Macaca mulatta: one gene and its partner. Each later gene encodes a partner of the first gene's protein in a complex. Links are inferred from orthologs where the notes say so. Each region holds a gene or a part of one and is shown in the gene's direction. Other genes may lie near its edges.

Region 1 (7,671 bases):
TGCGGCAGATCAGGGGCTCTGTGGCAGGCGGAGGGCAGGAGGGGCAGGTAGCCTGCAGCAGGTGAGGCTGTGCGTGGGGTGTGCACCCAGAGGCCCGTCCAGTAAAGCTGCACCTCAGAGGAGCACTTTGTTTCCCTCCTCACTTGGGAAGTTTCCTCTGTAACACGTTAAGCCTCACAGGTAAGGCCTGATGCTCCCTGGATGACTCCCTTCTCCAGTGTTCCCAGTCTGGGGGTGTCTTTCTAAGTCGTCCTCTCAGAGTGAGAGAGGGTTCCAGGGTGCACACCAGGCAGGCCCGTGGTGTGAGGCCTCAGCTAGCACAGTCAGAAGATGAACACACAGAGACCCGCCCATTGGAAGGAGAGCAGAGAGCGGACACGGAGGCCTGGCCGTTGGAAGGAGAGGAGAGGGCGGACACGGAGGCCTGGCCGTTGGAAGGAGAGGAGAGGGCGGACACGGAGGCCTGGCCGTTGGAAGGAGAGGAGGGGACAGAGAGGCCCGCCCATCAGAAAGGTCTCTTGCAGTGATGTCGTCATGCGCCTGCAATCTCAGAGTGTCTGCGAAAGACCTCAGATCTAACGAGCTCATCTGGCAGCTGCACATGGGACCAGCCCTCTAAACCTTAGTCGTGTTCCTCTATGCCGCCAAGAACCAATACGAAGATAAAATGGGAAAAATATCCCACTCACAGCACAGCCTGCTGAGAGACACGGGAGACCCAGGCAGGGGGCTGTGATGCTAAACCCCGGCATGGCTGGGATCCGTAGCCAGTGACGGGGCTTGTGATGGCGAGGCCTCACTCTCTCCCTCCTTGGGCCCTCACTGCGTGCCAAGTGTTTCATTTTTGTTTTTTAGTTATTTCTATTTTTTGTAGAGATGAGGTCTTCTGTGTTACACAGGCTCTGCAACTCCCAGCCTCCAGGAATCCTCCAACCTCAGCCTCCCAAAATGCTTCAACTCATTAATTCTGTCCTGCTAGACCAGGGTCTCCCTGCAGGCACCGCGGACATCGGGGGCTGGAGCAGCCTCTGGGGTGGGGGGCATCCTGTTGAGCAGCCTCCCTGGCCTCCAGTTGTCAGGGGCACCCCCAGTGGTGAGAACTAGAAATGTCTGCAGACATCACCAGGACGCCCCCGCCGGGGCAGAGCTGCTCCCAGCTGAGATCCGGCACCTGGTCCTGTGTGGCCGGTCCTCTGCGCCCGTTTAGCCACGAGGTTGCTGAGGTGCAGAGGTGAAGCAGCTTTCCCAGCTCACAGAACACCTGGGCTCAGGGTCGGACTGCTCTTCTCCCCACTGGAGCCTTGGCGGGCGCCTCTGCCACAGCCCTTTGGGGTGACCCGGCTTCCTGCCCCCAGGTTCTCTCCACCCGGATCCTGGCCATGAAGGCCTCGCTCTGCAAGCTGTCGCCCTGCACGGTGACCCGCGTGTGCGACTACCACACCAAGCTCTTCCTCATCGCCATCAGCTCCACCCTGAAGTCGCTGCTGCGCCCCCACTTCCTCAACACGCCCGACAAGAGCCCCGGCGACCGGCTGACCGAGATCTGCGCCAAGATCACTGACGTCGGTGGGTCCTGTCCCGCGCCCAGGGCCTTGAGGCTCTTTTCATTTTTTTTTTTTTTATTTATTTATTGTTTTTACTCTTGAGATAGGGTCTTAGCTGGAGTGCAGTGTCACACTCAGCTCATTGCAGCCTCAGCCTCCGCCTCCCTGGTTCAAGTGATTCTCCTGCCTCAGCCTCCCAAGTAGCTGGGATTACAGGCCTGCACCACCACGCCCGGCTGATTTTTGTATTTTTAGTAGAGATGGGGTTTCACCATGTTGGCCAGGCTGGTCTCGAACTCCTGACCTCAAATGACCCACCTGCCTCAGCCTCCTAAAGTCCTGGGATACAGCCTAAAGGCTGGGATTACACCACACCCAGCCTTTTAGAGACAGGGTCTCACTGTGTCATCCAGGTTGCAGCACGGTGGCACAGTTACAGCTCAGTGCAGCCTCTGCCTTCCAGGCTCAAGCAGTCTTCTCGTCTCAGCCTCTGGAGTAGCTGGGATTACAAGCGTGCGCCACACACGCAGTTTTTAATTATTCGCAGAGACAAGGTCTCACTGTGATGCCCAGACTGGTCTTGACCTCCTGAGCTCAAGCGATCCTTCCACCTGGGGGCTGAGATGCTACTCCCAGGCCGAGACGCGGCACCCGGGTCCTGTGTGGCAGGTCTGCTCCTTCTCCCATTTTGCTATAAGGGGACTGAGGCAGAGAGGCTAAGCAGCTCACCCAGCACGTGGTGTCCCACTCGCCTCGGCCTCCTAAAGCGCTGGGATTATAGGCGTGAGCCGCTGTGCTTGGCAGGTTGTCTCTTAAAAATTAGGGTTGCCGGGCGCAGTGGCTCAGGCCTGTAATCCCAGCACTTTGGGAGGCCGAGGTGAGCGGATCATGAGGTCAGAGGTCAGATCGAGACCATCCTGGCTAACACAGTGAAACCCCATCTCTAGTAAAAATACAAAAATGAGCAGGGCACGTTGGAAGGTGCCTGTAGTCCCAGCTACTCTGGAGGCTGAGGCAGGAGAATTGCTTGAACCCGGGAGGCAGAGCTTGCAGTGAGCTGAGATCGTGCCATTGTACTCCAGCCTGGGCGGCGTGAGACTCAGTCTCAAAAAATTTAAAAATTAGGGTTATTGTTTGTCTGGAGTACCCAGCTCACTGTGGGCGTGTGGCGCTCGTGGTATCTAGGAGCTGTGTGCACAGTCATTATTTCTGTGGGGCCACCCTAGTCACCATCCAACAGGCATCTGTTGGGTGTGTAACCGGCGCCAGGTGCCGGTCCTGCGTGGCTGCAGCTGCAGTGTGGACACACTGCTGTGTTCACAGAGTTCACCTCGGAGCAGGGGCAGATGTGCACCAGCGGGCCGGGCCTGAGCAGTGGTGGCCCTGGCATGGGGACCTGCCCGCGCCAAGGCCTGCAGGCCGAGAGAAGCGGCCCCCAGGTGGGCGGGCAGTGGGCTCCCGGTTCCTCCCTGGCAACGCCATCGCCCCCTTCTCCTTCCCGCCGTGGGTCCCCTTGTGTCCTGGCAGCGGCTGGGCGCTCGGTGCAGGTCGAAGGACCGAGGGGTGCAGTTAGGTCACCGTGTACAAGAAGCCCGAGCTGACCCGACCCGTGTCTCCTTGCAGACATTGACAAGGTCATGATCAACCTCAAGACGGAGGAGTTTGTCCTGGACATGAACACGCTGCAGGCGCTGCAGCAGCTCTTGCAGTGGGTGGGCGACTTCGTGCTCTACCTGCTGGCCAGCCTGCCCAACCAGGTGCGCTGCGCTCGCCCCTGAGGCTGCCCTCGCCCCTGAGGCTGCCCTCCCCGAGGCCCCGCCCCTCATCGGGGCCCTGACTCCTGGCCCCGCCCCTCATCTGGGCCCTGACTCCTGGCCCCGCCCCTCATCTGGGCCCTGACTCCCTGGCCCCGCCCCTCATCAGGGACCTGCCTCCCTGGCCCCGCCCCTCATCTGGGCCCTGACTCCTGGCCCCGCCCCTCATCTGGGCCCTGACTCCCTGGCCCCGCCCCACATCAGGGCCCTGCCTCCCTGGCCCCGCCTCTCATCTGAGCCCTGACTCCCTGGCCCCGCCCCTCATCTGGGCCCTGCCTCCTTGGCCCTGCCCCTGAAAACCACTTCAGCCCCGCCCCTACTTGGAGCCCCACCTCCTGACACTGTCTATTCTCAAAGCTCCACTGCCTATCCCGCCCGTCCTGAAGCGCTGCCCCACCTCAGAGCCCTCACCTCCATGAAGCTTCTGCAAAAAACCCTTCCTTGACCACACACTTTCTGCCCATTCTCGAAGCCCCGCCTCCCAGACCCTGCCCCTTCTCGGTCCCACCCTTTACTCTCCCCAGCTCCCGGTGCAGGAGGCGGTTGGGGGGAGTTGGCAGCTTTGAAATCATCAAGTCTCCATCCACACCCCCACCTTCAAGTATGCGGCCTGTGTGCCCCGAGCAGGGCTCCAGCCTCCCCCCGCCCACACACTCTGTCCTGCCCAAACCGTGACTTCTCTCCCCAAGTTTCATTCTGCCCTGGGGCCTCTGTCTCTCCACCCGCGCCCATCAGGCACGGTTTGAAGTCCCTGTCTGCTCCTTGTGGGACTTGAGGCTGCCAGGTTCTCTCGGCTCCCAGTACAGCCACCAGGGCCACTCAGCTGTGGGGGGCGGCTGCTCCTCCATGTGCCGGTGGGGACGTTGGCCTCAGCCAGAGCCGCTTCTTAGTCCTGTGGCGGCTCAGGGATGGGACAGCTCTCCAGACGGGGCTGTCCTGGGCCCTGCAGGGCGCTGAGCAGTGTCCCCGGCATCCACCCACTCCGTGCCAGGAGCTCCCCAGTCCTGACCACCACAAACGTCCCAGACCCTGTCCATTGCCTCCAGGTCGGGGTTCCACCGGACCCGAGAGACCTCATCCCATCACCATCTGCCCCCCCGCCGCCCAGCTACTCCGATGCCTCTTTCCGGCAGGGCTCGCTGCTGAGGCCGGGCCACAGCTTCCTGCGGGATGGCACCTCGCTGGGCATGCTTCGGGAGCTGATGGTGGTCATCCGCATCTGGGGCCTGCTGAAGCCCAGCTGCCTGCCTGTGTACACAGCCACCTCGGACACCCAGGACAGCATGTCGCTGCTCTTCCGCTTGCTCACCAAGCTCTGGATCTGCTGTGAGGCCCCCTGCCCTCTGCTCCCCTCTCCCTACCAGAACACACCGCGTCCGAGCCCCCTGCCAGAACATAAGCCCTCTGCTCTCCTCTCCCTACCAGAACATACCGTGTCCGAGCCCCCCGCCAGAACATAAGCCCTCTGCTCCCCTCTCCTACCAGAATGCACCGTGTCCGAGCCCCCCGCCAGAACATAAGCCCCTGCAGGTGGCAATGGCTCTGCCTTGATCTCTGCCATTTCCTCGGTTCGCAGCACAGGTCCATGCTCGGTGTGGGTGCCATTGGGATGGCAGCCACTCCCAGGCTCCTATTTGCTGTCTCTCCTTGTCAGGTTGTGTGTATGTGAGGAGGGTGGGTTGGATCGTTCTTATGTCTCAGTGTCTGGGAAAGGCACAGTGCTTCCCACATACTTTTTTTTTCTTTTTTTGAGATGGAGTCTTGCTCCGTTACCCGGGCTGGAGCGCAGTGGCGCAATCTCGGCTCACTGCAAGCTCCACCTTCCAGGTTCACGCCATTCTCCTGCCTCAGCCTCCGGAGTAGCTGGAACTACAGGCGCCCGCCACTGCGCCTGGCTAACTTTCTGTATTTTTAGTAGAGACGGGGTTTCACAGTGTTTGCCAGGATGATCTCCATCTCCTGACCTCGTGATCCACCCGCCTTGGCCTCCCAAAGTGCTGGGATTATAGGCGTGAGTCACCGCGCCCGGCCAGCTTCCTACATACTTTTTAAGTGAATGAGGGAGTCTCATTATTGAGGCCAGAGAGGGTGAGAGAACCCTGGGGTCACCCAGCCAGGCAGACAGAGCCGGGGCCCCGACCTGGTGCTCCTGAACTGGAGGGGCTCCCCGTGCGTCCCGGGTGGCCGGGTGGTGCCCCGGGCAGGGTTGCCCCAGGCAGAGTTGCCGAGACCTTGGCCACCCCTCTCTGCAGGTCGCGATGAGGGCCCAGCGAGCGAGCCAGACGAGGCGCTGGTGGACGAGTGCTGCCTGCTGCCCAGCCAGCTGCTTATCCCCAGCCTGGACTGGCTGCCCGCCAGCGACGGCCTGGTCAGCCGCCTGCAGCCCAAACAGCCCCTACGTCTGCAGTTCGGCCGGGCGCCCACACTGCCTGGCAGTGCTGCCACCCTGCAGCTCGATGGCCTTGCAAGGTGCGTGTGTCCCTGCATTGGTCCCCAAACACACCTCCCTCCATGCCCTGCCCCAAGGCCCCCCGAATCCACACAGCTCCCTCCCTCCGTGTCCTGCCCCAGAGCCCCCCAATCCACACAGCTCCCTCCCTCCATGTCCTGCCCCAGGGCCCCCCTGAATCTACACGGCTCCCTCCCTCCCTGTACTGCCCCAAGACCCCTGAATCCACACAGCTCCCTCCCTCCATGTCCTGCCCCAGGGCCCCCCCGAATCCACACGGCTCTCTCCCTCCATGTCCTGCCCCAAGACCCCTGAATCCACACAGCTCCCTCCCTCTATGTCCTGCCCCAGGGCCCCTGAATCCACACGGCCATAACTGCTGCTTCCTTCCAGGTGCCCTTAACGCCATACCCTAGTGGCGTCCCTGCTCTTCCATGAACCACCACCCATGCGGGCACCCAGTCCTTCCATTCACCCTCTCGCTTTCCCCACTGCCCCCGCCCCGACGGTCTTGCTCTGTCGCCCAGGCTGGAGTGCAGTGGTGCCATCTTGGCTCACTGCAACCTCTGCTTCCCAGGTTCAAATGATTCTCCTGCCTCAGCCTCCTGAGTAGCTGGGATTACAGGCGTCACCACCACACCCAGGTATTTTTTGTATTTTTGGTAGAGACGTGGTTTCGCCATGTTGGCCACGCTGGTCTTGAACTCCTGACCTCAGGTGATCTACCCGTCTCGCCCTGCCAAAGTGCTGGGGTTACAGGCGTGAGCCACCGCGCCGGCCTTGCCTTGGTTTTTACTGATTGTGTGCTAGCCTTGCTGTGCAGGGTGCCCTTAGTTTCTGCCCTTAGTCTCTGGTCTCTCTGGATGTGAGGCCTCACCGTCAATCCCCTTATTGATGGAGAGAGACGCCATAGCATGGCCCAGGGCACCGCTGAGCACAAACACCTCACCAGAAGGCTCTCCCGGGGTTACGAGGTCAGCTGCAGGGCTCGGGGCTGGCCTTCCTCTGGAACATGCAGGGTTTGGACAACCCAAGCCTGCTGAGCTCACCCCGGCCACCCAGCAGCCCTGTGGGGTGGGACCTTGTCACCCACTTCACTGTGAGGAAACCCAGCCTGGAAAGGGTGGGACCTTGTCACCCCACTCGTCTGGGGTCACGTGGTCAGGAAGTGGTCAAGTCCAGATTTGAACCCAGGCCCGTCAGACCCCCAGCCCATATCCAACATGCGTTTGACCAGGAGCACACCCAAACCCCCTGAGCCGCTGATGGCTCATGGCTGGAATTTTAGAAAACACAGATGAGCAAAAAGAAGAAAATGAAGTGAACCCCCAGTAGCCTGGCTCTGGGCCTGGCCTGGCTCCGGGACCTCCAGCATTCTCTTCCTCGTGCTCACTGTGGGAGGGTCCTGCTAGTGAGTCACGCACGAGGGTTTGGGTTTCAGGAAAAGACTTGATGGAAAGAGGACGGTTACGTCAGAGGCTTGTAAACTGGGAAAATTTCAAATATTTAATGAGAGCAGAATAAGCCAGCTCACCCCTACCCAGACCCAGGCCCCCCACCCACCACCAAGGGCAGCTTTTGCCACCAGAATCTGTTGTTGTACAGAGGTCCCGGTGCCCCCAGGCTGGGGGTCTGGGCTGAGGTGGTGTGGAAGCCTCACATACCCCCTTCTGTAAAGTCTCAAATGGGAGGGTCGCAAGCACCTTCTCCGCTTCCCAGGTGCCCTGTGTGGGCCCCGTCCCCTTTACTGGGCCCCTGAGCCTTGGGCTTCCCAGGCATCTGGGAGACCGACCCTCCTCCGTGTGTGGGGGGCCCCACACCCTTTACTGGGCTTGTCTCACGTGGTCCCGCACCTCCCACCTAA
Region 2 (7,671 bases), on another chromosome or scaffold:
CAGGGCTTAGTAAGCCTTTACTTCATCTACTCCAATAAGGGATAATAATGTGGGCTCTCCTGCTGGTGAACAGGTAGTTTACTTTTTGCAGGTTTATTATATTCCCTGCCATAAGCTCCCATTTAGCGTCATGGAGATTAATAGCAGAATCTCCTTGTCCTATTCACTTTAAAAAAAAAAAAAAAGTGATCAGCGTACTCACTGCTTCAGTGGCCCCTGCTATTGGTGATCTCCAAATGTCTGTAACAGAACAGATGGCCCATAAAATTTTAATGTTATCTTATGGGAAAACATTATGAGTAGGGATTACTTAGGAGATTTTAGTGGACATATGTCTCAGTCAGCCTACTATGGCAGGAATCTGCTAATTCTTTGTCCGTTAGCAGTCAGGTAGTGTTCAGCAGCCTCCTCTTGTACAGGAGGAATTGGCTTGAGTGAAGAAACTTTGTTTTTTTTTTTAGAGAGCCTAGTCCAAGTTTTAGAGAGACAGATAGCAATTTAAGGGTACATTACAATTACCTGAAAGGACCAACTTATAATGTTGCTTTGATTGCATGCAGTAACCCTAAAAGAAAAAGGAAAATGCTTCCATCTGTATGTTAAAGAATCTGCCTTGCTAACCATTGGTACCGAATGAAGGAATGGCCCCTGTTATAACTAATGATCTCGTCTATGGTATCAGATGTGTAGGCTTGGGCAGCACAAGCCCATCTGCAAAGTGCTACGTGACGGGATCATGCGCGTGGGAAAAACCGTGGCACAGAAGCTGACAGATGAGCTTGTGAGTGAGTGGTTTAACCAGCCTTGGAGCGGCGAGGAGAATGACAATCATTCCAGACTCAAACTTTATGCGCAAGTTTGCCGCCATCACCTAGGTAAATGGGAATCTATTTGGCAAAGTAGAACTGGAGAAGTAAAATAGCAAATCCCTCCCATCCTTTCTTTTATAGATGCAACATTGTATTTCTTTTGCCTCAAGTAATGCTGTATTTGTTAAGGTCCATTTTGGTGTTCTGAGCAGTTTAATGCTAATTTCTATATGTACATATATTTTTTAAAAACTATTCAAAGTTGCCTAATCATGTCTAATTTACTCCACATTTTGAAAACTTAGCAGCATGACTTGGTGTTAGCTGCTTAGTTTTAACCCATATTCTGAAGAGAATCTTAGAAGCTTGTAAACCTAGGAGTATAATGTCCCGTGATGACTGTGGAATATATAGCTTCTCATTTTTCAGGGCAGGCATATGGAATCAGTCTGAAAGGAGACTATCACAAGTGATTGATTTTCTCTTTTCAAACAGGCCTCTTCAGTAGAATTTATAAGTTGCTCCGTGTGCATTTCCATGTTTGCAGAATACATAAGCATGAGTGTGGAGATAGTATTTTGTGTATTGTAATCAGAGTATTGCAGCTTGAAAGCATAATTTTTTTACAAGTGACCATTCTAGATTTCTGGTTTAGTCGACACTGCAGAATATCACTAAAGTCACCTCTTTGCATGTATTCTTTCAGCACCTTATTTAGCCACTCTGCAGCTTGATAGCAGCCTGTTGATACCACCTAAATACCAGACCCCACCAGCAGCGGCACAGGGACAGGCTACGCCTGGGAATGCTGGGCCCTTAGCTCCAAATGGATCAGCAGCTCCCCCAGCTGGCAGTGCATTTAACCCCACCTCGAATAGTAGTACTACAAATCCTGCAGCAAGTAGTTCCGCATCTGGTTCCTCTGTGCCACCGGTCTCATCGTCTGCCTCTGCTCCTGGTATTAGCCAGATAAGCACTACCTCTTCTTCAGGATTCAGTGGTAGTGTTGGAGGGCAGAACCCCAGCACTGGGGGCATTTCTACGGATAGAACTCAAGGGAGCATAGGCTGTGGCGGAGACACTGACCCTGGGCAGAGCTCTTCTCAGCCCTCACAGGATGGACAAGAGAGGTATGTTACTCACTAATTGAGACGAGTGGCCTCAGCTCAGACCCTTTCTCTCTTCTTCCGCACCTTTTCTCCCTTGACCTCATGATTCTCTGAATCCTATGAAGTGCTCTATTTCTCTTCTTCTCAAAAGAAAGGGGTAATGGTCAATCTAAAGCTGCAGTGTTAAAATTTTGAGACTTCTTATAAATTATTATGACTTATAAACCTTATTATTAAACTTACAATCAACTTAATAACAACTTTGTACAACATAACCACAGAAAAGAAAGGGGAGTTTGAAAAAGATATCTCCCATTTTAGAGGAGTACATTGCCATTTTCCATCTGCTTTCAATGCTCTCTGGCTTGGTTTGCCTGTATTTTGGTAAGGTGATACATGTTACTCTTACATTTAATCTGTAAATATTCTTTAGGGAGCCTGTGTGCTCTAGTATTGAGCACTTTTGTTTTTCATACTCATGTAATTTATGTTTATTTTGTGTGTCTCACAAGTGACTCTCTTGCCAGTGTTACAGAAAGGGAGAGAATAGGAATTCCCACGGAGCCTGACTCTGCAGACAGCCATGCCCACCCTCCAGCCGTTGTCATTTACATGGTAGACCCATTCACTTATGCTGCGGAGGAGGACTCCACTTCTGGGAACTTTTGGCTGTTGAGCTTGATGCGCTGCTACACAGAAATGCTGGATAATTTACCTGAGCATATGAGAAGTTCTTTCATTCTCCAGGTTACTGTTTGCAAGTTTATTATTTACTTTTGATGTTGATGTTTTTGTTGTTGTGAAAATAAATACAGGCTTATGGTTTTTCTTAAAAAATAGAAGTACAGGTTAATTATCCTCTAACCAAAATACTAGGGACCAGAGTGTTTTGGATTTCTGATTTTGGAATGTTTGCATATATGTAATGGGAGACCTTGGCAGTGGACCCAAGTCTAAACATAAAATTTGTGTTTTATATACACCTTATACACTTAACCTGAAGGTAATTTTATACAATTTTTTTAATAATTTTGTGCTTTATACAAAGTTTTGATTAAATTTGACTGCAGCACATCACATGAGGTCTGATACGGAATTTTCCACTTGTGGCGTTTTATTGACATTCCAAAAATTGTGAGTTTTGGCGCATTTTGGATTTCAGATTTTTTGATTAGGGATATTCAACCTGTACCCGAAAGTATAAAAGAAAAAATAATCATAATTCTGACTTTTACATTCAACCACCATTACCATTTTGGTGTTTTTCTAGCTTGTTTTTCTATTTTTGTTTACACAGTTGAGATCATACTTTTAATATAACTTAGTTTCTATCTAATGTTATTCATGAATACATTTTCATGTTATTTAAATTCTTACAAGCATTTTTAATGACTGCATATTTTCCATAGCCATTCCTATATCTCCACTTCTTTACTGTTATAAATAAAGCCATAGTACACATTTATGTATAATCTTATTTTTCACATTTCAGGTCATTTTTTAACATGGGTTCTTAGATGTAGATGCGACACATATTGCCAAATTCCATTCCAAAAGAGATTACACTTACTTTCCTTTCATCAGTGAATGAGTATGCTTATTTTCACTGCCCCTTTGACAGCTTTATAGTGTAATGATTTTTTTAAAAATTCTATATAGATGAAAAACAGTGCTTCGGATGTTTGGGTTTCATTTTAATGTCACTTTAACTGAAGCTATCTTGTAAAATTAAAAGATTGAAATTAAAGTTATCAGAGTACATTGCTGATAGTTTTCCATTGTTTTGAAGTCTGTATCCTAAATGATTAGGTAATAATTCCAAAAAATGCCACACACACTGTGTAATTATAAAAAGGAGAAATATAATACAATTTGGGGGCCATGGTAATACCTGTAATAAATTGAGATCTTACCTCTAAAATGGGAACATGGTAGTTTCTAAGTGACAGTATAACTTGACCCATATAATCGTACATCTTTCGAAATTGCTGGTGATAGAGAATTTTATGTCAGTGGAAGGAATTAGGATTTAATTATATTATGTGTGACACTGATATATTTTAGGGCTGAGGTTACCTCTCCCCATTGTGGTAAGGAATTCATGCCGTTTCCTTTTTCAGCTTGCTTGTTAGCGTGTTAGATCTCAGTTTCTAGGTTTTTGGTTTTGTTTTGTTTTTTGTATTTGTGTCTTTAGATTGTGCCTTGCCAGTACATGCTGCAGACAATGAAGGATGAGCAAGTTTTCTACATTCAATACTTGAAGTCCATGGCATTTTCAGTGTACTGCCAGTGCAGGCGACCATTGCCTACACAGATCCACATTAAATCCCTCACGGGATTTGGGCCTGCAGCCAGCATTGAGATGACCCTCAAGAACCCTGAGGTGGGTATTGGCAGGACAGGAACTTAGAAAATTTATACTAAAATGCAAGCTAGGAGAGGTATTTTATCTAACCTAGAGATTGGCTGGTTGCTTAGTTGGCCTTCTACCTTGATATAAGAGTTGCTAGGCTGGATGTGGTGGCTCACGCCTGTAGTCTTAGCACTTTGGGAGGCTGAGGTGGGAGGATTACTTAAGCCTAGGAGTTTGAGACCACCCTGGGCAACATAGCAAGACCCCGTCTCCACAAATTTTTTTAAAAAAAATTAGCCAGGTGTCAGTGATGATGTGTGCCAGTAGTCCTGGCTGTTTGGGAGGCTGAGACGGAAGGATCACTTGAGCCCAGGCGTTTGAGATGGCAGTGAGCTGTGATCACACAACCACTTCCGCCTGGAGAGTAAGACCCTGTCTCAAGCAGGGAATGAAAAAGAGTTGGCAGATTTCTTTAACTCTTAGATTTAAATAGAGGAGATATTTCTCTGAACTTTTAAGAATTTTTGAGAAAAGAGGCAAGCAAATTCTTACTGTTTTTTTAATGTAGGACTTTAGGCAATAATATATGTATCACTTTTAGTTCTTAATGTTTGAATTTTCTAAATTTATTTTCTTTATTTTTCTAAGCTACTCTGTGTCTTAGATCAGAAATCCTTTGCATTTTCTGGCTCTGGTCTGTATCCTGAGACAGCAGTTGTAGTTGTGTTTACTCTGCAGGGGGCCCTCATTTTCTGATGCACATACTTACAGGGAGTTGATTTCTCCTTTCCTTGCCTCAGTGCTTCGGTATGTAAATGAATGCATTTTCGCTCCATCTTTTTAAACCTACTTCCTACAGATATGTGTGGATTTCAAAGGGAATTTTACAGCACCAAAGCTAAACATGTTTTAAACAAAAGTTTTACATTTCCTTTGTTTTTCTAATCACCTTATCTTGAAGATAGGTATACAGGGCAATGTTCAGAATTTTCAAAGCCTTCAAAAATCAGTTCCCACAATTTTATTGCATGAAAAATACCCGATTAGTAAAAGCCAGCAAATACCTCTTTACCATAAGAGAGCTTCTTAAAACACCAATTGCTATTTTTAGTTGGTAATGTTGTTCTGAACAACTCTATGAAATGCTTGCACTTTTATAAGTAAAATGCTTGGAAGTGAAAAATGATGCAAGTAGTTAATACTGTGTTTGTTGTAACTTGGTTCAGGTCAGCTTAGTCCCAAGGGAGAAAAGCTGCTCAGCCGATGACCTACATTCACTCCAGTGTTATATAAAATTTCTATTTTAGGCAGTTTTAGTTTAGTTTATTCTTTGAGTTTAAAGTTTTCACTTCTATGAGCAGTTCATCTGTTTTCTCTATTAAATTTTTCTAGAATTTCAAAAATAAACATCTCTACTTATTTTTCATTTTGTTTCCAGAAATTATGAATTATTGCCTTTCTAAAGGTTATTATTCTCAGAGCGCCATCAGGAGCTCATAAGATAAAGTGAGGTTTAGGTTAAAATAAATGGCAAAAAGACTTCGAGTAGTATGCTTTTTCTCCATTTTGCTTGAAAGAGGAAGAGAGAAACGATTTTACTTTATTAGAAACAAAAGAACCAAATGTTATAAATATTTGCTGAAGTTTATACTTTTTTTTTTTTTTTTTTTTTTTTTTTGAGACAGAGTCTCACTCTGTTACCCAGGCTGGAGTGCAGTGGTGCGATCTTGGCTCACTGCAAGCTCCGCCTCCTGGGCTCACGCCATTCTCCTGCCTCAGCCTCCCAAGTAGCTGGGACTACAGGCGCCCACCACCACGCCTGGCTAATTTTTTGTATTTTTAGTTTCACCATGTTAGCCAGGATGGTCTCAATCTCCTGACCTTGTGATCCGCCCGTCTCGGTCTCCCAAAGTGCTGGGATTACAGGTGTGAGCCACTGCACCCAGCCTGAAGTTTATACATTTTAATCTGCATTAAGGTAATGGTTAGTTGGTCAATGCTGCCTCTGCCTCTGCCTCAGTCTGCAGCTAGAACACTGTGTTCTCGTTTGGTAAATATGGTTGAGCATCTACTGTGTGCCAGGTGCTCTCTTAGGTGCTGAGGATGCAGGGGTGAACAAAACAGGCCCCTGCCTCCATGCAGTTCTCATTCTCTGGGTGGCACAGTTTTATACAAGTTGTCACATGTGAAAGAATCTACTTTATAGTATTTATATGCAAATTTTCAAATACAATTGCTGTTATCTTTTGTTTTTCATGGAATATCTCACATCTCAACACAGTTTGGGAATCATATTTTATTTAGTGTTTCAGAAGCTATCTATTACATCTGAGATATTTCACATTTAGCCTTTTGTTTTGTAAAAAACTCCAGGCAAACTCAGCTGGACTTTTTCTTTTTTTAGTAACAGCTTTATTGAGATACAATTCACATATCATGAAATTCTTTTTAAAAATTTCACAGTTTAGGCTGGGCGCGGTGGCTCTTGCCTGTAATCCCAACACTTTGGGAGGCCGAGGCAGGCAGATCACCTGAGGTCAGGAGTTCAAGACCAGCCTGGCCAACATGGCAAAATCCCGTTTCCACTGAAAATAAAAAAGTTAGCCGGGTGTGGTGGCGGACACCTGTAATCCCAGCTACTTGGGAGGCTGAGGCAGAAGAATTGCTTGAACCCAGGAGGTGGAGGTTGCAGTAAGCACAGATCACGCCACTGCACTCCAGTCTCGGTGACAGAGTAAGACTCTGTTTCCAAAAAAAGGAAAAAAAATTGTATAGTTTAGTGGTTTTTAGTATTTCCACAGAGTTGTACAGTCATCACTACTATCTAATTTTGGAACGTTTTCGTCAACCCTCAAAGAAACACAGTATTCATTAGCACACACTACTCATTCCCCACTCCAGTCCCTGGCAACCACTGGTCTGCTTGCTGTCTCTGTGCAGCTGCCTGTTCTGGACATTTCGTGTAGATGGAATCATACAATATATGATTTTTTTTTTTTCTTTTTTAGACAGGGTCTCATTAATATTGCTTGGGCTGGTCTTGAACTCCTGGCCTCAAGCAGTCCTTCCCCCAATTTTTTTACTTTTATTTTTGAGACAAGGTCTTGCTCTGTCGCCCAGGGTGGTGTGCAGTGGCAAGATCACGGTTACTTGCAGCTTCAACCTCCCTGGGCTCAAGTGATCCTCCTGCCTGAGCCACTGGAGTAGCTGGGACTACAGGCATGTGCCACTGTGCCTTGCTAAAGTTTTGTAATTTTTTGATAGAGATGGGGTTTTGCCATGTTGCCCAGGCTGGTCTTGAGCTCCTTGGCTCAAGCATTCTGCCCGCCTCAGCCTCCCAAAGTACTGGGATAACAAGCGTGAACCACCTCACCTGGCCATATGTGATATTTTATGTCTG

The links.
Region 2: MED16 (region 1) and MED13L share a complex: the UniProt entries of both Homo sapiens proteins name them as parts of the mediator complex. The link is inferred for Macaca mulatta from reciprocal best matches to the Homo sapiens genes MED16 and MED13L.

What each region holds. Positions count from the first base shown.
Region 1 is NC_133424.1:1,526,556-1,534,226, reverse strand, and holds part of MED16 (mediator of RNA polymerase II transcription subunit 16), read left to right. Parts: intron 1-1,355; coding exon 1,356-1,566; intron 1,567-3,167; coding exon 3,168-3,301; intron 3,302-4,404; coding exon 4,405-4,684; intron 4,685-5,610; coding exon 5,611-5,827; intron 5,828-7,671. UniProt on the Homo sapiens protein: Component of the Mediator complex, a coactivator involved in the regulated transcription of nearly all RNA polymerase II-dependent genes.
Region 2 is NC_133416.1:123,229,269-123,236,939, reverse strand, and holds part of MED13L (mediator of RNA polymerase II transcription subunit 13-like), read left to right. Parts: intron 1-682; coding exon 683-875; intron 876-1,515; coding exon 1,516-1,939; intron 1,940-2,445; coding exon 2,446-2,665; intron 2,666-4,112; coding exon 4,113-4,301; intron 4,302-7,671. UniProt on the Homo sapiens protein: Component of the Mediator complex, a coactivator involved in the regulated transcription of nearly all RNA polymerase II-dependent genes.